Caenorhabditis elegans: one gene and its partners. The protein of the gene in region 2 purifies or fractionates together with the protein of the main gene of each other region. This does not show direct contact. Each region holds a gene or a part of one and is shown on either strand. Other genes may lie near its edges.

Region 1 (7,501 bases), on a different chromosome or scaffold from region 2:
TTGATAAAATTAAAGACAACCGAGATATAAGCCGTCAAAGTAGAACAAGGTAGAGAAAGTCTAATTGGGAAAGGTACGGCACTTCATTTTTATTGTGCGAGCTAGCAATTTTTCAACTATTCCTTACAATTTGTGAGCTTCAAAAGTTTCATGGGGGCAGTCACAAAAATATCTGACCGTCTTTAAGGCTGAATTTGCCTAACTTGTGCCTACTGCCTGATATCTCAAGTCAGAGAATTAAAGTTTTGAATCAAAAAACCTTACAAATTCGTGGTCTGACTCCAAGAAAACCGTTCAATGGAGTTATGGTGCAAAGGTAGAGAAAGCATAATGTTTGAATATGGAGGGAGAAGAGCTTCACATAGATTTGTGTGCGAAGATCTCCGAAGAGAGGTGAGGCCTGCAAATTTTAGTTTAATTCCTAGAATACTTCCTTCGCATCCACTCACCAGCATCACATATGTCGCCAGCGTAACCGGGAATAAAAGAGCAACACGGACAGTGCTCATCTGCTTTTCAGCTCGAACACAAACTTGCATAACTTGCAAGCTTTTTAGCCCTCCCAGATTCGAAGTGCTCATCGTTTTCTCGACAACTACCCATGGGGAGTGTTCTTGAACAATATCACTGAGCTGTTTTTCTTTTTCATAGATCTTTTGCGCGTAGACAGGTCGATTCATTTTCTCTTTTTCCTTTCCTTCGAGCACAAGCGTGGTTTGCTCCACGTTCGGCTCGAAGGCGGTGAAGAAGATGCAGCAGCTGTCGTCTTCTTCAGGGAATCTGGAATGGTTGCAAGTGAGTTTAAGATGTGCTACTGAAATCACTCACTTCCTATAATCCACCGTACAACTTGCAAGATATTTGAATTGAATTCTCGCGTAGATTGTTCCATCGTCATAGATATCAACGTCATCGACTGAATAAGAACAACCACCTTCAGAGCAGAGTCTGGAAAATAGTTCATTTCTAATGTTAGGCGGTTTAAAATAAGGAGATACTCTCGACTAATTTTTTAAACCCAAATTCAGCCATATAAATGTACGGTCTGCGAAAAAAGCTTACGTGTGATCAATCACATGAGGTGTCCAAATGGCACTTGAATTGAAAATGTACAAGTGTTCATAGTTCTCGAATTCGCCTTTCTTATCCCACTTCATACGCTCATCTTTCCAGTTCTGCAAATTTTTGCATTTAATTTCCCACTTTTGTCATCCCATCTACCAGATAAATATCTCCAAAAACGTTGAATTGATAACTAGATCCTTTCACCAATTCCACGTATTTGACAAGCACATTTTCTATCTGAAAATATAAATATTTAAACTTCAGTCTCCTCTGAAAATCATAATTACAGTAATCGTCATTTCGTCGGAATTTGGAGGATATGCGCTTAGTGAGTGTACGCTGCCAGATTTCTCGTATTCCTTGTTGAGAAGATAGTAGAATAGACAGTGCTCATCTCCTCCTAAAACAAAGATTTGGGTTATGCTGTGAGACCACCCAAAAAAATTTTCCAGGTGCCCGCGAAAAGAGAAACTCGGCCACGCACGTTCTAATTAGAATGACATGCAAAAGCGGCCCTTGGCCCCTGGCCCGAGTTACTGTAATTTGTTTTCAGCGTGGCGAGACCCAAAAATATGGAAAAAATGATCATCTTCCGACGTCTGCGTAATATAAAGATCAACATATCAACTTTTAGCCGTCAAAACTAATGAGTCAAAGCGCTCAGTCATGCGTAAACAGAAAATGATCGTGATCTCCAAATAAATTTGAAATGTAATTCCTTGGTTCGATGGAAGCTTGCCCAAAAGTACGGTTGAGGGTCTCGAAACGAACGATTTTCAAAAATTCTAAGAAATGTGCACCTTTAAAGAATACCGAAGTTCTTCATTGTTTTCTTGTGTTATTCATGGGTTAAAAAAAAAGTCATGTATTTTATTTCAGTTTTTCAATTAATTGTAAGAAAACTATACGGTACCCGGTCTTGACACGGCAAATTTGTGTTAATTGAGAAAAGGTGCGCGCCTTTAAAGAGTACTGTAACTTCAAACTCTTGCTACTGCCGGATTTTTCATAGATTTTCTCTAGATTTTGAAATTTATTTAATAAAAAAGTGCATTTTTAAGTATCGAAATTCTATCAAAAGTCGATTAATATTGCGCAGAAACGAAAGTTTGAAACTACAGTACTACAGTACTCTTTGAAGGCGCACACCTTTTCTGCATTTAACACAAATTTGTCGTGATGAGACCGGGTATCGTATTTTTGCGATAATAATCGCTAAATTTCGCAGTTTTCAAAATGCAAAAAAAGAAAAGAATTCGCAAATTTTTTTAATTTGAATTTTCACTTCCGAGAGTTACGTGGGCAACGTTATTCCTTCCAAAACCATTAAAAAAAAAGTATTTCGGAATTTCCAAACTCACCATCTGCTCGATTTGTCAAATTCTTCGTGTACCTGCATTGAACCATCTGCTCAGAAGTCTGAATGAGAAGAAGTGCTCCAAAGAGCACAAGAAACGACATTTTTGACCAGCAAGAGGGAATAAGTTATGCGAGTTTGTATGTATGTGTGCTGCTACGCGTATCCCTTCTTAAGAACCGCCCGCTTCTTGTTGTTACCAGGACAACGGAGCGGGGTGGGGAGCCAGCGTGTGAAACAATCGATTCGTTGTGTTGTTGTTCCCCCGGTGTCTCGACTCACAGACACTATTTTCATGCTATGACCGCTGATTTTATTCGGAAAAGAGCAGAAAAGAAGAAAAAAAAAATTAAAGTTTGAGTGCTATATGCTTCTTTCTCGAAAACTAAAAATCTTATACATGATTGTAGAATCGAAGCTAGAAAAAATTCAAAAATCCAATCAGTATCGTGTGGTCGGAACATCGGCATTTCCAAGTTGCATCTTCTGCCAAAGAAGTGGTCCTCCCCAGATTCCGGCAGATTGTGGATGAGCAGTCATTCCTTGGAGTCCAGTCTCCGAGTGTCGTTGATACTGCCAGAATGCTCCGAGGATGGCGGTGAAGATGGCGGCAGTGGTTCCAAGGGCAACGTTGCTCTCTGGAAAAATAGTGGTTTTGAAACGAAAAATTAAATTTTTCAGGAATTAACCAGGACAATCAGATTTTGATTTTGTGTCTAGATTTTTTATTTGTTAAAAAATAAAAATGTACAAGTTTTGCCAGATTTACAGAGAATTTTGTTAAATTTTAAAAATAAATATTCATATTTTAAGCCGAATTTTTATTATTTTCAGACTAATTTTTATTAAAATATTTCGAACAAAATATTTTTTCGGACAGAATCAGAACTAATTGATTATGAGATACAATGATAATGTGGCTGCTACCATGAAAGATAATTTTTTGAATTGATTTTTTTCTATTTTGGAAAATTACGAAAATATATTAGTTTCTGTTTTAAATTTTTTCCATGTGATTTTCTTCGAATTTAACAGAAAATCTGATGAAAACACATAAGAAATCATTTAAATAGAATTAAAATTTTTTTCTACGCTCTGAAAACCACGTTTTTTGATCATTTCGCCAAATTGGCTTACAATTTTTAACAAAACATACTCATGGTAGCCACGGTTGATCCAACAGCAACACTAGCGAACCAATGATTATGGACATCATCCTTATGACGGATCGATGAGGCTGCTGAAAGACTGAAGCCCCAGGCGAATGCAACGGCCAATGGGAATGGAGCGAGTTGGAGGTATCTCTTCATATAGGTTCTTGGCGAGAATTCGGATACCGAGACTGTATTGAGTGCACGGATTTCCAGCATAGTGTATGGAGCCACTGAAATTATGTTTTATGATTATCGTGAACATTTTTTAAATCTTAATCTAGTCTTACACAAAATTCCAGCATACTTGGCGGCGGCAAGTCCTTTCCAGAAAGATCCCTCATTGAGTGGACTGTCGAAGAAACGGGGTCCGGCAGGATACCAAGAGTTTGGCAACACGGCGTTTCTGCCTAACTCGTCCTTTGGAGCTGGAAATAAAAAAGTTTTGTAGCAGGATACTTATAATAAAATTTTAATTATTCCTCACTTAGCATATTATCGCTCAAGGTTGGACTAACGGATAGTCCTGGATGCTCTTTGCTGATTCCAAACTTTTCAGCGATAGCCTTAAACTGGTGGGATCCTTCGTAAACTTTGTTCTGGAATTCGGACAGCTCTCCTGGCTGATCTCCTTTTTTGGTGAGATTTTTGGTCTTCTTGGAATCGAGTCCGAAAGGTCCGGCCAGGGATTCTCCGTCTTTTACCTGAAAACGCAAAAAATTAGCGAATATCACTCAAAATAAATTAACTGTACCTTTGGATCATACCAATCTGGATCTTCCTCACGGAAACGAGCACGATAAAGACGAAGTTTTCCAGAACGCGTGACAGAGTCTTCAAGTCCTGGCTCCTTCCACCAGTCGGCACGTCCCTTGCTGAATTACAAATTTTACCATTTTAAAATATTTTATTGAATTAGATTTAATTTCAAAAGTAGAAAAAGAATAAAGCTTACTATTCACGATCACTCCAAAGACCGATCCATGGAGGTCTCTGCGTTTTATACGTGGCGGTCAATGGTTCTTCTCCGTGGCCCATTTTACCTGAAAATCGATTGATAAATAACAATAAAAAATTGTTCATAGATACTTTCAAAAAATTCCAAAGAAGATAAGCCAAAAATATGTATTCAAATGCGGATAAAATAAACAAAAACAGAAAAAAATACACTGAAAAATTAATCGGCCGAGACGGGAAACGCGCAAGGAATGAGAAACGCGCCAACAATCATATGTTAGCGCATACTTCGTCCTTGCGCGGATTTTCAAAAACGATTTATTTGTAATTTCTTTTTGCATTTAATTTTGCGGTTTTTGCTTTTTGAAAGCTCTTAGAGTTTATAATTTTGTATTAACTATAAGTAAAAAGATTATAAAATATTTATTCGGATTAAAATAAATTTTATCTAACAAATTATTTTTCAAAGAACATTTCCTGAGATGCGAACAAAAAGTTGATTAATATTAAACAAAGAAATCACAAGGCGACATCTTCCTGGTGCTTGAACTGTGACATGACGTCTGCTGAATGCTTCTCTTTTTGAGCTGAAAAATCGATAATTTGTTAAATGTATTATTACAAAAATGTTATATTACCTAGCCTCCACTTTCGAAGATACGCAGCTCTCCGCAATCTTCTCTCTTCTTCAGTTTCTCCTTTTGTATCAATATTCGATTTTATATAAGGTCTTACTGGTGTGGTTCTAGCCGCGCACGCTTTTCGCTCTGAAATGTACGAAATTGGGATAAAATGTGAAAATTTATTTTAGAAATCACCTCTTTTCGGTGGTACATGCGTTTTCCTGTATTCTTGCCAAAATTTTCGTTTTTCTTGAAGAGAAGTGTCATTTTCTGAAATAACTAACAATCATATAAGTTCCATAAATTAATTGCAAAACCTCGTTGAAGCTCATAATGCTCTAGTCTTCCAAATGCTTTACGCAGAAATTTTCCGAATTCCTTAGTTTGAACGAATGGCAAATGATTTTTTTCTCGAAATAATGTATAGAATCGACGCAGTTCCTGAAGCTCATCAACATTCCATTCCTTTTCTGGATCGTCCATAGCTATACTGAACTTTGACATCAGCATTGATAAATGCTCCCGCTCGATTTCGCACGGCGGAACGTCCAGGCGAGTTGGTTTGGGAATGAATTGCTTCTTTGAGTGAACTGAAAATAAAGAATTTTGTTTGAATAAAAACTTTTACAATATTCACTTACATTCTTTGAAAACTTCCGTGAATATATTATTGATAGCGGACCGAAATTCTTTCTCTTTCTCGTATTTCATTCTTGGATTCAAAGTAGAGAATGAGAAATTGTCGGGAGAAGCCTTGCAGCTTCCACCTGGTACGTCTTCTGTTTGATTAGCAGGATCTTCACTACCGACACCCATGAAATTAGAAAAATCGATAGCTGATTCCTCCGATGAAGCTTTATTTTCGCTCAGTCCTTGGAAAACTTTTCCGTACGCTTTTGAATAAAATTTCTGAAGATTCAGCTTGTCATCGGCCCCTAATGCTCCACTGCGCCAGCTTCTACAGTATGAAGTGAATTCGGCTTTCTCCTCGGCAGTCCATTCTCGGGGACCGTGAACTCTGTTTGCGGTATTTAGAAGTCGTTCAACATCTTTCGAAACTTGATCATCAAACATCTGCGTTCTCTCCTTCTCGAGCTTCTTGTGGAGATTATTGAATTGAGTGTCAGCATCAGATCCTTGTAGAAGAAAGAAATCCGAACAATCCACGTCGAACTTGGTACGTGGCGAAAAACCAGCTCGTAGATCATTTTGATGGAATCTTTTCGCACTAGATTCAATTGGAACCGGATTGAGAGTGAGCAAGGAAGCTAGCGTAGCTGATGAAGTCGTGGTAGGTTGAGCATCCTCTATCGGAGCTTCTTTTCGTTTATATTTTCGTTTTGGTGGAGCCTGTGGATTCGTGTAGGCCATTGCTTGATCGAACATTTTGAGAGCATTTTGTAGAATTTCGGTTCCAACATCTGCTCCAGACGAAAATTGTCCAATGATAGCTTCTCCTATATTGCCAATATGATCCAAGGGATCAGTGTCCTCTGCTGCAGAAGCTTCCTTCTGAATCAAATGGTCGAGAAGGCTTGCTGATGTGCAAGGAATATCATCTGAAACTAATAATAATTATTTTAAAATATAATTTGAATTGTTCTTACGTTTTTCATTCGATTCGTCGGGTTTTTGCATCTCGTAACAATTGCAATCGGTGGTTTAAAATTTTCGTTTTTGAATTCAAAAGAGTGAGGAAGACAACAAATTAATGCGAAAAAGTTGTTTTGAAAGAAGTTTTGGAAAACGAAAAATGAAGTCGAATGTGGCGCAAAAATCGAAACGAACATGAGAGATAGTGCTAAAATTACTAGAGTCGCAGATTATATTCACGAGAAAGAGCACGCGGGACAAAGAGACAGAGACGAAATAACGAAAGCGGCCAGAAAATTCTCTGCGTCTCCGGGGCAAGGAAGCATTCTTTTATTGGACTTTTGATGATTTTGAAATTTGTCTCTGCGTCTTGTTGCAAAATTGGGAATAACAAGAAAACGCATGACTTGTTTGTCTAGAATAGGATTACATGTAATATGCAGCGCGTTTTTAGACCCGTTTTACTCGATTCTTGCTAATTTTTTCCGGGAAAACATAATGAAGATTAACAAATAATTCTTTCAAAACATATAAGATTAGTAAAAAATGAATAAAAGCGAGATATCTAAAGAAAGAAAGAAGCAATTAAAATTGCGACAAGTTTGCCCGAAAATAACTAATTTTCAAGTTCCCTCCGTTGAAAATTTGCGCTAGAGCACACTTGCATTTTTCAATTTTTAACAAATTCTTTGTTGGTTTTTAGCATTTATATATTCGAATATATTCCAGTTTTCTCCACAAATGCAATGTGTCCG
Region 2 (7,926 bases):
ACCTGAACTTTTATATATTTTTGAAATTTTCTGATTTTGCGCGGTTAGATTTCCAGTATACAAAATTTTGAAAAAAAAAACCAAGAGATTCTAAAAAACCAATCGTAAACTAATTGTAAATTTTTTTAAATTTTCCCTAAAATAGGCTCCGCCAACTTCTTGGTTCCTTCACAAATTTTTCTAGTTTTTATCGGGATTTTTTTCGTTCTTGTATGCCGTGCTCAATGTTTTGTATTTATTGCTCTAAACTTCAGTATTGAAATTGCAAAGTGAGTATTTTTCCTTGTTTCTACTCTACATTTCGGCTCCTCCGAGCCCAATTCGATTGAGCCCATTTAATTATAGACTCGCCTTTCAAACTACTTATCTGCCTACCTTGAAATTGGAACCTCCTATTTTCTTATTTGTACCTACGTGGTTTCAGGAAGAGCTTAAACATTTTTTTTTTGAAATTTTGAGCAGGATTTTTTTTTGGAAAAAAAAATAGGAACAAAACTAACCTGCAATTTTTTTTTGCTGAAAAAGAAAAAATTTTTTAAAACTTCAAAACATAAATTTATTCCAGTTTCCAGAATTTTATTTTAAAAAGTTTTGAAAAAAAATTCCGTTTTGTCATCGTAAAATTATGGAAGAAATTGAATAACAAATTATTTTAGAAATGATTCAAAAAATGATCTAAAAACTTTAAAAACTTTAGCTAAAATTTTTTCAGAACTTTTCAGAATTATTATTTTAAAATTTTTCACACAGATTAATCCTGTATTTTTCGAAATTTATCACTACTATCAAAAAGTTTCCAATTGCCAAAATATTAAAAATGTTGTGATGACTATGTTCTTAGTTGACAGTTTTCTAATAAGACCAGTGGTTTTTGAGTTATGCACTAATAAGTTGTAAAAAAAAATTTAAAAAAATTAGTAGACTTTTTCCTCTACACTCTATTCTTTGAAAGATTAAAACCTCATCTAGACCTAGACCTCATTTTGTCAATCAAATTCCAAATTTTTCATCAATTCCCAATTCAAGTGTTTTATTCAAGGGTGCGGGGGTCCCCTTATACATTTCCAAAATCCGGGCGGCCTTTTCTCGCCCAACTTTTGACATGACCCGAATCCGCCCTCCCCTCCCTCTACCAGAGCCGAAATTTGAAGATAATACATTTAACGAGTCGCTTTCTCTTTTTTTCGTTTTTTTTTGCATTTTTTCACCCCTGACATGACGTTTCTTCTCCAGCCACAACTGCACATTGCTCTTTTTATTTTTTTGCAGAAGAGATTTAGAAAGCTAAATATGATAATTGCAAGATTTTCGCATTGTAAATAATAATTTAAATGTTTAATAAGCTTTAGAAAAATACAATTTTGAACCAATAAATGGGCGGAGCCTAGATTTAATTTTTTTTAATTTATTAATTAAACTATGGTGCCTTGTAATTTTTTGAAGTCATGAATATAAAAAAAAAATTATTTAAAAAATTAAAAAAACATCTGATTCTTTTTAAAAAATCACCCAACAATTGGGCGGAGCCTATTTTCGGCTTCTACGCAGTTTCCAAAAAATTTTTAATACTTTTTTTTCAAATTAATCTATGTATGATATAACTAGTACCAGTCTATTTTTGAGTTTACTCCTTTTATTATTTTTTTTAATTTTCAGGCTATCGACATCTTCTCTTTGGATCCGCCGCCGGAGAGCGAGACATCACTGGAAGCGGACTTCGTGATGGCACAGGCTGAGAATGCGTGTCGGTGAGTAATTGAAAATTATCACATGGATAATTATGCAAATTTTGAGTTTGAAACAAAACAATTTCACCCAAATTTTGATTCTCCGCTAGAGATGTTTTTGAAAAATTGAAAAATTTTGAGATTCTTGCCAAAGTTCTCAAAAAATTCAAATTAGAATTTTCCTCGCCAAAACTTTTTGAAATAGTAAAAATTATGATTTCCAGCCACATAATTCTGATATATGGACGAATATAATTTTGGGCCATTTTTTTTGCAAAAAATTAAATTAAAGAATACTCAACTTTGTAATGTCTTATAAAAATTTCTGAAAAAGTAAAATTTGAATTTTGTTTTTTTAAATCAAATTTGCTTTTCCGCCAAAAATTTATTAACAATTTTATAGTAAAATTTAAAATCTAAATTTAATAAATTTTCAAGTTTAAAAAATTCCACAACAAAAATTCTTAAAATTAAAGTTTAATTTTCCTTCCGGAATTCCCTAAATTAAAGTCAACATGTGACGTCACAGGCTATAAACTACAAACTTTGGACAAAAAAATTTCAGTGAAAAAACCCCCACAGAATCTTTGCAGCAGTAAGTGCCTTCCCCCTTTGTCTCTCTGCTCAGCCCAGCTAAAACCAAAAAAAATCACAAATTTTCTCCTCTCTCGGTCCTTTTGTCCTCTGAAAAAGTGCACACCACATCAGGGAAGCCTTCCAAAAAAACATTTTTCCATTTTTTTGCAGGCTGAAGCTTCTTCGAGCGGACGTTCCAGTTGACTTACTTCCGGCCGGATGTTCAGCAACTGATTTGCAGCCGGCTGTTAATGTGAAGGAGAAGATTGAAGTGAATGGTGAGTTATTAGCTTTTTTTGAAAAAGAAAAAAATTTCGAAAAATCTAAGTTCAAGGGGAACCTCTACCTAAAAAACAATTTTTATAACAATTAAAATATTTTTTTAAAAATTCGATTCGTGTGAATTTTAAAATAATTGTAGAAAAGCTACTGAAAAAACTGAATAGTCAAGAAGTGGGAGGGGCCTGTTTAATATCAAAGTTGAAAAGTTGAAAGAGACTCCGCCCATTTCTTGGTTTTTTTACAGATTTTTTAATGCATAAAATTTTTAATATCAATTAATAAGATTTTTTTAATTGACATTAATTGTTCTCAGTTGATATAATTTTTGCAAAAAAAGAGAGAAATCAATAAAATCATTTACTATATATAAAGTAGAGTTTTCTTCCGTCTAATGTAGGCTATGCCAACACGCAAAACTCACGTTAGTTTGAAAGTTTTCGTAAAATTTAAAATTTCATTTCAAAAAAAAATCAAATTCATTTAAATTCAAACCAAAAAAGTAATTCCGAGGGATATTCGAACTTTAGTTTGAGTCAGTCGGAGGAGGTCGAGCCGTAGGCTCGAACGACACCGGCTGGTACTATAAATAATTTAAGTTCAATATTAAAACAAAAAATGATTTGCGAAACATTTTTTCAATTAAAAAAATCAGAAGTTTTTTTTTAATTTTAGGAAATATAGTTTTAATAATTTTCAAACCCCAAGTGTTTTTTTTTTCAGAATTCAATGTGTACAAATAAATTTTTATTCAATTATTTATCATTTTCCAGGTGAATCCCGACTAGTCCAAAAGAAGAAGACCCTTTACCCGGAATGGGAAAAATGTTGGGATACCGCAGTTGCCGAGGGCCGAATTCTACAAATTGTGCTCATGTTTAATCAGACACCTGTGGTCGAAGCAACTATGCGATTAGAGGTTAGTTTTTTTTTTTTTTTTTTTGAATATTTTTAATTGAAAAATAAAAATAATTCAGTTTTTTTTTTCAAAAATTTCCAATTTTTTTATTAATAGTTTTTAGAAATTTTGCTGAAAAAAAGTGTCAGAAAAACCAAAAGTGACTAACTATATCCCACCCAAAGATTGGGCCGAGTCTCAAAAACCCAAAAAAAAAACTCAAATTTTCTGAAAACCTCTGAAAAAACCTCTCATGGCAATATCTTTTTTGGAAACACGGGATGAAAACAATTCCCAAAAAGTTCTACTCACGAATAGGTGTACCTTAAAATATTCCGCTTACAAAATGGCTCACCAATATGACGTAAAAAAGTGGATGAGCACATTTTGCCACGTGGCAATTGTCGTAGCTTTGTATGAGAAGTTGGCCCCATGGGACCACATCTTAGAAGATCACAGTGGCTCTTGGCTCTTAACGGAGCAAAATCTGCTGCTGGTGCTCTTGGCCATTTATTCGGCTTCACCACATTTTATGAGAGACCAACGACGAATTATTACCCTTTCCTTTTCGACTTTTATGGCGGTGTTGAGATTTTTGATTTTTGAAAGTTTAGGCGGAATTTTTTTTTTGTTTGAAAAATCACCAACGGAAACTATGACGCTTGTAGATTTCTTGTTGGGCTATGAACTTTTTTTATTTTCATTGCTAAAATTCAAAAAAAAACGAGAAAATTACAGAAAAAAGTAAAAACCCGCCAAAAAAAGCCAAGAAAGGGGCAGTGCCTAAACAAATTTGAAAAATGTTTACTGGTTTAGTTTCTTTTTGTTTTTGAGTTTTGAAAATCATTCCAACTATGCATATGCAGTTTGAAGAAGAATTTTATTTAAAGAAGAAATTCAAAATTTCAAAATAAGCTCCGCTCATTTCTTGGCTATTTTTAAAGTATAAAAGTTTTAATTTTTATTTAAAAAGGTATTTCCTTACTTTCAAAAAAATTAGTTGAAAAATTAAAATTTGCAAAAAAAATTTTTTTGAGAAATTTGGTTTGATTTTACCAAGTACATTGGAAATTCCTTTAAAAACACTGAAAAATATAGAAAAAAAGTAGTTTTTTTTTAATTCAGCAAATTTCTAGTTTTTTTTTCGAATTTAAAAACTTTTCCCGCCATTTTTGGCACTGTGTCAATTGAAATTAAAAAATTTTTTTCGACTGTAAACTCGAAATAATTTGAAGTTTGAATTGCAAATTATTCTTTGAATTTTCTAGAAAATCCTATCAAAATTTAAAAAAAATATATATTCAAATTTTTAAAATTCCCCAAACTTCTCTAACACCAACTAAATTGTTCTAATTACAGCTACTATATCGCCCATTTGGTAATAAAAAATTCCAAATTATCCCATGTGAGCCCCCTACTTCAGGAGCAAAGAGGCGTGGTCTAAATTTCGGCTCCTAAACTCCATTGCCTCCTAGATTTCTGGTTTTCTTTTCGAAGCTCGGTCGGTTGAGCAAATTTTGAAAAAATTGCTTTAAAAAAATGACCGAAGTTCTGAACGATATTTATGAGGCTATTAGTCTTCTAATTAAGGTAAGAAATTCGGATTGTTTGCCACGCACATTTTGTGGGCGGAGCTTATCACAGCTTTTGATTTTCAAAATGGTTTTCTGGCAGCATTAAGAAAATTTCAGAGTGGTCAGAAGTTAAAAAATTTTTTGTAAGTTCTATAGAACGGTTTAGAAAATTCCAAAAAAAAAAAATTAAAGATAGTTTTTAAAAAATTTCAAAATGTATAAGACCGGTTTAGAAAATTTCCAGAATTTTTCAAAAATTCCTAGAATTAAAAAAAATTATCTGAAAATTTGTGAAAATTCCAAAACATTCCCGAATTTTACATAATTATAATAATATAATTTTCAGAAAAGAGAAAATTCTCGTGATTTCTACATATAATTTTTTCAATGATTTTTCAGAAACTGAATAGAAAGCTGGAGAAAAATTCAAATCTTCTGTAAATTCTTACACTTGTGAATTTTTTCCTTTGTGAAAATTTTAAACCTTGAGTCCTGTTTTTTTTATTAACAGATAGTACCCAATAACTTAGTTTTACTTTGCCATTTTTCAAAAAGTATCCCAAAATCGCAGAGATTATACTAAAGTTTGTAAAAAAACGTTTTAACCCAAAAAAAAAACATATTTTCCGTACATTCTATTTCTGGGAATATTTTTGAGGAAGCCTTTTTCAATTTTTATGAATACCTTCTAGACGATGTAAAGTTATAAAAGTTTCTGAAATTTGGAATTTCAGAAAAATTCCAATTTTTAAAACCTTTTTTTTTCATTCGCCGAATAGCTTTTTATCTACTTCACTTGTAATCTTTCTCCAAAAAAGTGCAAACAAGCATCTTTATTCCCATGGGACCTTCTCCCCAACTCCGGAAGCTCCTCTTTTTCAACTTTTTCACCCCATTCACTCCTTTTTTAAGGATATTTTTATGCTTCTCTATTTAGAAAAAAAACAACATATAAAAAAGTTGGTCCTGAAAAAACGACAAATTGGCCAAGAGAAGTTCGAAAAACACAAAGACGGGGGCGGCGATTTTCATAAACCTGCGGAGCCGATTCGCCTCGGGCGGTGCCCTCTCCCCTCGTTTTCATTTTATTTTTTCCATATTTTTCTTGCTCAGTTTTGGAGCAGCTTCACTTCAACCCATAACGTTCGTAGTATTAGCCTACCTCAAAGTGACGTCATCACATTTTTTCGAGCTAACAATTTTTGGAAAAAAATTTAAAAAATTTTCAAACATTTCTAAAATGATTTTTACAGTTCCAGAAAATTTGAGAATACTTTAGAACTTGTTGGAAAGTTTCAGAATGCTCCAGAAAAATTCAGAATAAATTCGCATAATTTTCAAAAAAATACTCTAAATGTTTTTTTCGAGCTTTGAAATTTTGGAATTTTGTATAAAAACCTATCAAAAAAACAATATTGGAATTAGCTAAATTCTGTGATTTATGTTTTTAAGCAAAAAAAAATTGGTGGCCGAATTATTTTATTTCCGCGGCCATGTACATAAAGTCTATTTCCCTCCACTCCTGTGACGTCATGACAAGGTCCGCCGGAAGACAATAGTTACCAGAGGGACGAAGCACACCTCTTTGGTAGTTTTTCACAGCTTTTTCCCATTTAGAAACTTTTTTGGAAACTAGACTTTTTTTTTTTGAAAACTGAAATTTTTGGACACTTTATTTGTATTTTTAAATTTCCCAATTTTCCCCCGATCCTCTAAAAATTTCAGTGATCTGTTTTGACTTGGTTTTCTACAAAAAAATTTGATATCTCTCATCTTATCACTAAATTATCATCTATCACGCAATGTTTTTTGTGATACCTGGTGTTTGACTGAAAACATAAATTTTTAGGAACAAATTTGAGTGTTTAGAAAACTTTTTTTTCGAAACTTTTCGCATTTTACGCTGTGAAAAAATTTCAAATTCAGAATTCTGTGATTTTGGTAACTTCCAAGTTTTAATAAGATTTTTCAAATTTTTTCATAATTTTTCAAACTAATATAATTGTGAAAATCATCAATAATTCCAACTAAAATTTACAACAATTCTAAAATCGATTTTTTTAAAAATTCTATATTAGAATCTAAAAAATTTCATTTTAAGAAAGTTTTCGTAAATTTAAAATAAACATAATTAAAATAAATTTCATTCAAATTTTTCCCAATTTCTAGTTTGAAAAAAAAATTTAATTTTCAAATTTAAATATCGCTTCTAGATTTTTTCGGTAAATTTCAATTTTTCAACAAAAATTTTCGCTTTTAATAAACTTTTGTACATCAAAATTTCAATTTAAAGTCTTGTAAAATATCATATCTATAGAAAAATTTCTCAAATTCTATTCAAGTTTCAAAAATCCTCCTGACAGCTCAAACTTTGACCCAAATTTCCAAAAAAAAAATTCCATACACAAATTTTTGTCCCTTTTTTCTCTCATAAATTGGGTAACAACCACGGGCGGAGAATAGGAGAAGAGCTCTGAGGACGAGGATGGAGACGGGCGGTTAAAATTGAATTTCGGTTCGAAAAACATACTCGCCTTCGCCATTTTTCCAACAACCCCCGTTTTTCTTTTTTGTGTGTATTTGTGGGCGTGTAACTGACTGCCTGCCTTTTCAAATCACGGAATATAACCACCTCCGGATTTTTTTTTGGGATTTTTCTTAAACTTCTAGGCTTCGGGCTTATATCTCACAATCAGTTAGTACGAGTTTTTGAAAAAAAATTGCCAAATGGTAATGTGTCTATTGGATGTTTCTTTATATTTTTACAAATTGCTACATGAACCAATGTATGAGCTATCAACGAATAGAAATTTAAAACATGGTGCATCGACAAATTTTGAAAACTCCTTTTCTTGGTTAATTTTATGGTTAT
Region 3 (7,807 bases), on a different chromosome or scaffold from region 2:
TGGAAATTTCAACATAAAAAATCGAAAAACTTGAGCAAGAGTAGGAAAAACTCCACCGATGAGGGGAATATGCTTTCGATTATCTCCGAATATCTGGAAATATATGTTGAATTTCACTGGTAATAGTACCAAAACGAACCGCTCTGACAAACTTCAAAAGTGGATTTTTGAACATTTGCGAGTCGGTCTGACCCATTGCAATTCGTCCTATAGTATCCATTGTGAACTCTTGGTAGAATCTGTAATTTAAAATTTAAATTACTTTTCCAATACATCGAAAACTCACTGTAACATATCAATTTGTTGTCCCTCCGAAGTTTGTTCTTCAATATGTCTCAATAATTCCATCGCACTGTCTTCCACAGTTACATTGATTTTTCTCAAACTGTTATTCGAAAAAGTAGGACTAGATATAGCTCTGAGCCTTTTCCATCTAAATCCTTGAGCCGAGAACAAGTTAGTTCTCTCGTCTTTTTCCGGATCACCTTGAATTGGATTCAGTTTTCTACCATAGAAGTTGTCATACTGCTCAACAAAAATTTGACGAACAATGTCGATATCAGAAACAATTAGAGTTTTAATGGTTCCTTCAGTGTATCCATATATTGGACCATAAAGTTTTGTCCAATCTCTGATTTGTAAGTATTGAGGATATTCTGATTTGAGAGTTTTTGGAAAACTTCCAACTAATGGATAACCTAGAGGTCCAGGGATACCACGCCGTCTCCAATATGTCCATATCCAGAGGTAGTAACTTAAATAAATATATTTAGCTTTGAGAAATAAATAAAAAATACCTGATAAAACCAATGAACAAAGTTGGAATAGCAAGTAAAATAACACTCATTTAGTTGTATTTTCTTGTAAACGAAGTCTGTATATTTTAAACAAATATTTCCAAAAATAAAATTTGTTTTTATATTTACAAGAAATCGGACACAAAAACGGCAACTATCTGACACACTTTTTGTGTCTCCGTCTCGACGATTTTGTGACTCCTTGCGCAGAATCAGTGAGTAATTGGATTACAATGATGATATCAAGACCACTAACTCTAGTCTATCCTGTAGCCAGTTTCTGGAGTTTGGTCTGCAGATTTGAAGAAATCACCGATTAACTTAATTTAGTTTAGCAACTCTGGAAGTAACATTGCCAGGCATTTTTGTGGGCAAGGCTTTGTGTCATATTGCGCAAGAAAGTCAAATCTAGTGGAAACCAGAAAAAATCAAGTATTTTTGATAAAATAACAAGCACATCTTACAATAAGTCAGCAAATTTTCAAACGTACTTTCATATGTATATAAAAATGTGGTTGAAATGACTAGATATTAATGTATTCCTAACCCGAAAGTTTTACCTAACCCTGCTGTTGATATTTAACACAAATTGTGCTCTGATCTGTTTCAATTATTTGATTAACTTTGCTATTTTGTTATGATAGATGGCCAATAACCAACTTTTTGTTATTCATTCACGAGATCTAGTCAGACATTTATATAGACATGTCTCACTATCATATGGTACAGGAATGTATAGACAGGAAAAACTTAAACTCAAAAAGATAACATTTATTAGAATTGCCGATGAACGAATAATTAAAATACATAGTATCTATATGTTGATCACCCAACAGATCCCATCGATGGTACCGAACTTTTAGGCCTCGTGTGGAACATCATCATACCCGAAGCTCCACCACTGCCCATTGAAGCTGTACTTTGCTTAGCTAGACTTCCGGAAGACGTAATTGAATTAGGATCTTTGGATATAGAAGCCATTCGACCTCCACTGGGAGGTCTTGGAGCACCTCCTCCGCCCATTCCCATCATTGCGAGGCTTGCAGCACCAGCGCCACCCTGAGAGGTATCCACGTCACTGAGAATTCCGATCATTTTCAAGTTGGCAATGATGGATTCTTGTGATTCTCGTGTTGCAATGACCTTGACTTTGGACTCTTTATGCAGATTTCTGGCTTTTCGACAGAGAATGAAGTTTCCGAAATAGTCGATTCGGAGATTTTTGTTGTTAGCGATTAGTGATAATGGGTAAACAATTGGAAGAAAGCATCGAGCATTGATGTACATCATATCAAGCGTGGAATCTTCTGAAAGAAGTTTAGTTTTCAGACTATTCTGATCTTTATTTCATATTAAACTCACCTAGATTTATAAATCTCTTGACAATTACATGCAAGATGAAGTCGGCCAAACAAGCGATGTACAGCATGATGTAGGAATTTTTGAAAAACGTCATTTGTCCACTGAGATTTTGGATCTAAAATTGATGTCAAATGTAAAACTAGAATATAAATCCTCAAAAAACTCACTTTCTGGTCATTTCTCATTCCACCGAGTAGGCAGGCACGAGTGTGAGAACCTTTTGCCGATTTGAACATGAGAACCGAGATCTGAAATTCAAAATAATAATTATAATATGTTTATTTAAGTTTTGTTGAAATTGCGTCACATGCGTGAGACTTTTTCTAAGGGAACTAAACATAGGATTTTTATTTTCTGTTGAATATATAAACTAGCCAAAACAGGATACTTACTATAATACATGGCAAAAACAATATTCCGTGATAGAAGTCGTAGTATACATTCGCGATGAGTGAACTTTTGATTGAAATTTCATCATTTGAAGATTGAAGAACTTCAAGTCCAGCAGCTTCTTTGAGTTGATCATCACTATTCAAATAGATTCCTCGAATAATCATCTCCATAATTACGGAGACCACTACTTCGATGACCTATAAAAGGTATTTAGTATTTGTATTTAATATTTATTGTAATAAAAATATTGATACCCACCCGGAAAACTGCCACATATCGAAACTTGGGACTTTCTCGAATCGTTGGACTCCGATTGTACGTTATCCGTTCAACAGTTGTCCAAAACACAGTGAGTGCTGGAATAGCACGGCTGACTGATAGAGTTGTCGAGAAGAAGGCTTCGGATTTTGTCGTGCGATTCACGTTGGCACCCCACATTGCAGCTGGAAAGGTTTATTTTAGAAAAATAATCAGAAATATTAGTTTCAAGGTTTAAAGATCAAAATATATCCGTATTATCATCAAAATTGTGAAATGCACATAGCAAACAAGTGTGCATACATATAATTGTGTACCTACGACAAGTGCGTGACCAACTCGGCGTTGTGAGCCAGCTTCTTGTCTTACTAGATAGGTTTTGCCAAAAAATATTAACACGGCTTTATCTTTGGCAAAATTTTGACAAAAGTTGAGGTTAGTAAAGGACACGTCTCAAGTATAATCTAACTTTTGCCAAACCTCGGACTACATTGGCAAGAGTTGGATCTAACTTGGACTAATTGCATTACACTTCCTGAACTTGCCAAAGTTTTGATACAAGTGAAGATTTTTTGGGCTAAAGTTTGACAAAAAGATATCGTTTACAGTTATACTCGAGCAAGAAATCCCATTTCTGTAGGCAAGTGGGTCTTCATTTTGTGCCTATATAAACTCACCAGCGGCCACAACATTTGAACAAGCCAGCACAATATGAGCAACGGACAAAAACCGTAAATTATTTCCGGTAAACTTTGGATAGACCGTAGATCGATGTGTGGCTCTGAGGTAGCACAGATTGAGGTAAACTCCGACAACCGAAAGGATCAGACACGAGGTAAAAAACACAATTTCAAGAACCATGGCGCCTGGAATGCTGATTAAATGAAAGAAAAATATGCAGAAGTGAGAAGAAAAGAAAGGAAAAAATAATTGAATTTGGAGGGGGAGGATATGTGTGTCTTTGTAACATAGAGAAACCTAAATTAAAACCTCTCAAAAATCACCTGCCTAGTTTTATATAATAGTTTTCTATTCACAGACTACTTTTTTTAGTTATATAAACTGTGTATGATAGGTATATTGAGAGTAGAAGAAGGAATTTGATGTGGGCCCAAAAATGAAGAAAAACATGAAAACAATCAAGTCCCACAGGAAATCGAGTTGGCGATACGTAGATTGTTATTTATTAGCGTTATGTTCTCTGAATATAATGAGATGTATAACAAGAAGGTATATACATAGATAAATCGATGCACATTGATGAGCACTATTTTAGGGAACTTTTAAATGAGAATATGCTGTGTCGAAGTTTTTTCTCGGAAATTTATACAGAAATATAAAGAAATAATAGTTACTTTTTATCAAAAATTTCAAAAATTTGGCCAAAATCTACTATTAAAATCGCTATGTGCCTATAGCACCTTAGAGTCAGCTTTTGAGCCGCTTTTTTAAATCTATTAATAAGAAGTGAGATATCTTTATAAAGCACAAATAAATAGTTTTATATATTTCTGTATAAATTTCCAGAATAAAACTTCGACACAACGATGAGACTTATGAGATTTTGTAAATATTGCCATTTCGTCTGGCTCAAAGGTTCAAAAAGGTGGGCTCGAGTCTAGAATTCAAGGATTATACAAAAATGGAGAAACTTTCTCTAGTTGATATAAGAACAACTCTTTGATTCACTCGTCATTTCCCCGTCTATCGACAGTGAAGGCTAATCGAAAGTGATTGTAGGCAGGTGTAAAAGTGCTGATTTACTTTGGTTGCCATGCTCACATGGAGACACGGAACCTTGGGTCAGATTGTTCAACTCAAGAATAAAACAATGCAAGAATTGAAACATCTGATGGTCAAAAAGTGATAATGGGTGGTTTGATATATACATGCATGGGAGGGTGACTGCTGCATAGACAAAACTATGTGTGAGATTTGAGCGTGTTGTCAAGCCCGTGCTTCTCTGCGTTTCTTTCAAGTTGCTCTCAAGGGCACAGAGCGGTAATTGGTTAGATGCGAAGTAAGAATAGACAGACGAGCCTGCCTAATGACGACGTAAAAATGAAGAGCTGTGAAAAAATGTGAGTAATGGATGAGGTTTTCTGACAGAACTAGCAAGCCGAATCAATTTGGCAGATGCTATAAGGAAAGGATATACCATGTGATAAAAGTTACAGTTGTCAAAGCAGATGACCCTAATCTAAATCTATCAGCAGGAAGGTAGGCAGACCTTCCCCTTTCCTAAGTCTCATTTGTCTTTCTTACGCCATAAGCTTTTGCATACGTCTATTCATGTGATTTTCTGGCTCACTATCAGTGTAGACTTATATTTAAAAAGAATGTTCTTGTTCAATTTGGTAGTAGGTAGGTGGTATAGGTGGATGCATAGGTATGCATTTTGGTGATTTGTCAAAGATCTGTGCGCCTTTAGGGAAAACGATATGTCGAGTGTGAGTAATTCAATGACATAATTAAACGTTTCATTATTATGTTTTATCAAACATCAAAAATCTTATTAAGAACTCCTGTCAACCGGAAGTCTAAGCTCGCCGAGCAGGTGGTACACGTGAAGAAAAATGTCTGAAAATCGTGTTTCTGAAATAGCATTAAAGTCTATAATTTGTTCTCGGTTTTGGATTTTACACATTTTCAGGTTCTCGATTAATTAGAGTCACAGTTTTTTCAGATTCCTACAGCTGCAGGAATGTGTTTCACCAGATGTGTCGAGAGACTGTGACTGGGTGAGATACGCAGAGTTATTCCGAGAGGAGTGCACATACGACACTCTGTAATAACACTAGCACTCCTTGTTTATCGTAAATGCTCATTGATTTATTTAATGCGAATTTTTCGAAAATAGTGCTTTCTTTTTCTATTTGTCCGTTTTATATTAAATATTTATCAATTATAATATTAATCATGTCAAAGAAAAGGCACGTTTCATGAGTCAGTTTTAAAATTTGATAATATCATAATTTCCATTTTTCAGAGTTCCGCAGACATGTCGAAAAAAAATGATTGTTGTTGATGGAATTGAAATCATGATTCCCAATGATAAATTAGACGAAGTGGTCAGCATCTTCAAGAGCGGCGTACATATAGACGACTTAGAAGGTTGGCAGACCGAGGTAATTTTTTCTTAATTAATTCCCTCACAAAAGTTTCAATTATAGGCTGCTCACGAGGAAGAAAACTTCGAAAAATTCATCACGGAGGCGAGGGAGTTTTCAAACATGAGCCCACCAGACATTGATCAATTTGAAATAAAAGCGCGGGGAGCTGCTTCGATCTGCGTGGTGGAGTTCTTTTTGAAGCACTTTGGAATTCTTATCAAATCGAACAAAGCAAAGAGCAGTTTGATGGAGGTCATTTGTTTCGGACTGAGCAGCAAGCAGGCGGTTCAGGTTATAGATATCTGGATGAAAGCAGAAAAGTAAGTCTACTTTAGCATGAATATTATTTATCTTTTGATTTAGGTCGGATCCGAATTACTATGAGAATTACTATGACTCATGTATGACGAAGGAAGGCAGAGAAGCGACACTGGATTCAATCAACGAGATGGCCGCCATCTTTGACAAAGCAGATTTAGTTCTCATTGAAGCCGAGCTGAAGATCATGACATCGGTGACACTCCGCGATGTCAAGAAAGACACGCGAAAGATCGGAAACTATTCATATGACTACTCGCGTATTGCCTTTTCTTCTTCTCTGTAATAAATTATTCTCTGTAATTTTCGTTTCTGCTTTGTTTATTTGGGAGTTTTTTTTTTCTTAAAATTTGTTTCTGTTGCGGCGAGACCCCTTATGTAGGGAATACGATTCGAGATGTGAATAGTTCGATGACATAATAAAATGTTTCTTCTTGATGTATTATCTTACATCACAGATCTGATTAAGAATTGAACTCCTGCCGACCGGAATTCTCATACGTGAAGAAAAATGTCTGAATGCGTATGGCGCAACATATTTGACGCTCAAAATATCTCGTAGCGAAAACGACAGTAATTCTTTAAATTACTACTACTGTAGCGCTTGTGTCGAATTCACACTGTCGATTAACTGGCTCGATTATTGAAATGCTTTTATTTTCGAATTGTGATAGTGATATTTCATTTTCTTTTGTTTAAATCGACAAAAGCGCTACAGTAGTCATTTAAAGAATTACTGTAGTTTTCGCTACGATTTACTTTTCGCGTCAAATATGTTGCGCAGCAGGCATTATCAGAATTTTTTGTTCCCGTAATAGAGTCATAGTTTTCTCCAGATTCCTGCAGAAATTATTTTTTAAATGTTGTGTCGAGAGAGAGTGGCTGGATAAGATACATACATTTTCCGAGAGGAGTACACAAACAACACTCCGTAATAACACTTGCTCGTCTTGTTTATCGTAAATATACATTGATTTTTTAATGCGAATTTTTAGCAGGCGCTTTGTTTTTCTCTATAAATTTACATCAACGTTTTTAATATATTTTTTTTTCATTAAATATTTTTAAAAACTTTAATCATTATTTCAGAATGCTTCCTCAACACAATACATTTATTAGGAGACCGACTATTGCAGGAAGGAGCTTTCATCCATCAGGATATTCTGTACAGCAATTTGTACCACAGCAGTCCAATTTTCAGCAGCCGATTAGGTAAAATCTGGTTTGAAAATGTTTGAAATCAATGTATATTTTCAGTAATTTCACACAAAAATCTGCTGAATCGCGAGCACAAAAACAAGTTGGAGCGAATTTTCTTCCTTCTATCGTCAATGAAGCTTATCATAACGTTTTGGAACAAATTGTGACGGCAATGTGTTATAAAAGCGGATTCGATGATATCGAGGAAGGCGCGTTAGAAACTTTGATGCTTCTCTTTCATTCATGTAAGATTTTCGGAATTTATTCGAAATTAACTGTGAATTAATTATTTACAGATATAAAACGCATTGGTGAGCAGTCGAGATTTGCTTGTGAGGTTGCTGGACGTACTATTGTGACACCTGG

What was found.
Region 1: the proteins of tpa-1 (region 2) and nduf-11 fractionate together in Caenorhabditis elegans (co-fractionation; one large-scale study listed by BioGRID). This does not show direct contact.
Region 3: the proteins of tpa-1 (region 2) and ZK1320.5 fractionate together in Caenorhabditis elegans (co-fractionation; one large-scale study listed by BioGRID). This does not show direct contact.

Annotation. Positions count from the first base shown.
Region 1 is NC_003280.10:11,341,005-11,348,505, forward strand, and holds nduf-11 (Complex I-B14.7), read right to left. Parts: upstream 4,617-7,501; 5' UTR 4,612-4,616; coding exon 4,529-4,611; intron 4,449-4,528; coding exon 4,328-4,448; intron 4,278-4,327; coding exon 4,061-4,277; intron 4,002-4,060; coding exon 3,864-4,001; intron 3,807-3,863; coding exon 3,579-3,806; intron 3,061-3,578; coding exon 2,864-3,060; 3' UTR 2,717-2,863; downstream 1-2,716. Other genes in the region: lgc-20 (Neurotransmitter-gated ion-channel ligand-binding domain-containing protein), read right to left, coding at 265-400, 450-780, 829-948, 1,063-1,175, 1,222-1,302, 1,353-1,465, 2,427-2,526; B0491.6 (DNA helicase), read right to left, coding at 5,050-5,117, 5,169-5,297, 5,349-5,423, 5,471-5,743, 5,795-6,718, 6,761-6,791; pigm-1 (GPI alpha-1,4-mannosyltransferase I, catalytic subunit), read left to right, coding at 7,488-7,501.
Region 2 is NC_003282.8:90,330-98,255, forward strand, and holds the start of tpa-1 (Protein kinase C-like 1), read left to right. Parts: upstream 1-1,650; 5' UTR 1,651-1,722; coding exon 1,723-1,748; intron 1,749-2,292; exon of another isoform or gene 2,293-2,322; intron 2,323-2,474; coding exon 2,475-2,581; intron 2,582-3,355; coding exon 3,356-3,501; intron 3,502-7,926. UniProt on the Caenorhabditis elegans protein: Diacylglycerol (DAG)-dependent serine/threonine-protein kinase that phosphorylates a range of cellular proteins. Phosphorylates mlk-1, a component of the JNK pathway. Involved in axon regeneration after injury probably by activating the JNK pathway.
Region 3 is NC_003280.10:9,661,994-9,669,800, forward strand, and holds ZK1320.5 (uncharacterized protein), read right to left. Parts: upstream 3,685-7,807; 5' UTR 3,672-3,684; coding exon 3,488-3,671; intron 2,996-3,487; coding exon 2,811-2,995; intron 2,750-2,810; coding exon 2,552-2,749; intron 2,408-2,551; coding exon 2,327-2,407; intron 2,275-2,326; coding exon 2,160-2,274; intron 2,105-2,159; coding exon 1,623-2,104; 3' UTR 1,553-1,622; downstream 1-1,552. Other genes in the region: cyp-13A10 (Putative cytochrome P450 CYP13A10), read right to left, coding at 1-93, 140-239, 287-754, 798-847; ZK1320.11 (BTB domain-containing protein), read left to right, coding at 5,631-5,743, 5,800-5,938, 5,984-6,243, 6,287-6,527; taf-8 (Transcription initiation factor TFIID subunit 8), read left to right, coding at 7,332-7,453, 7,499-7,686, 7,738-7,807.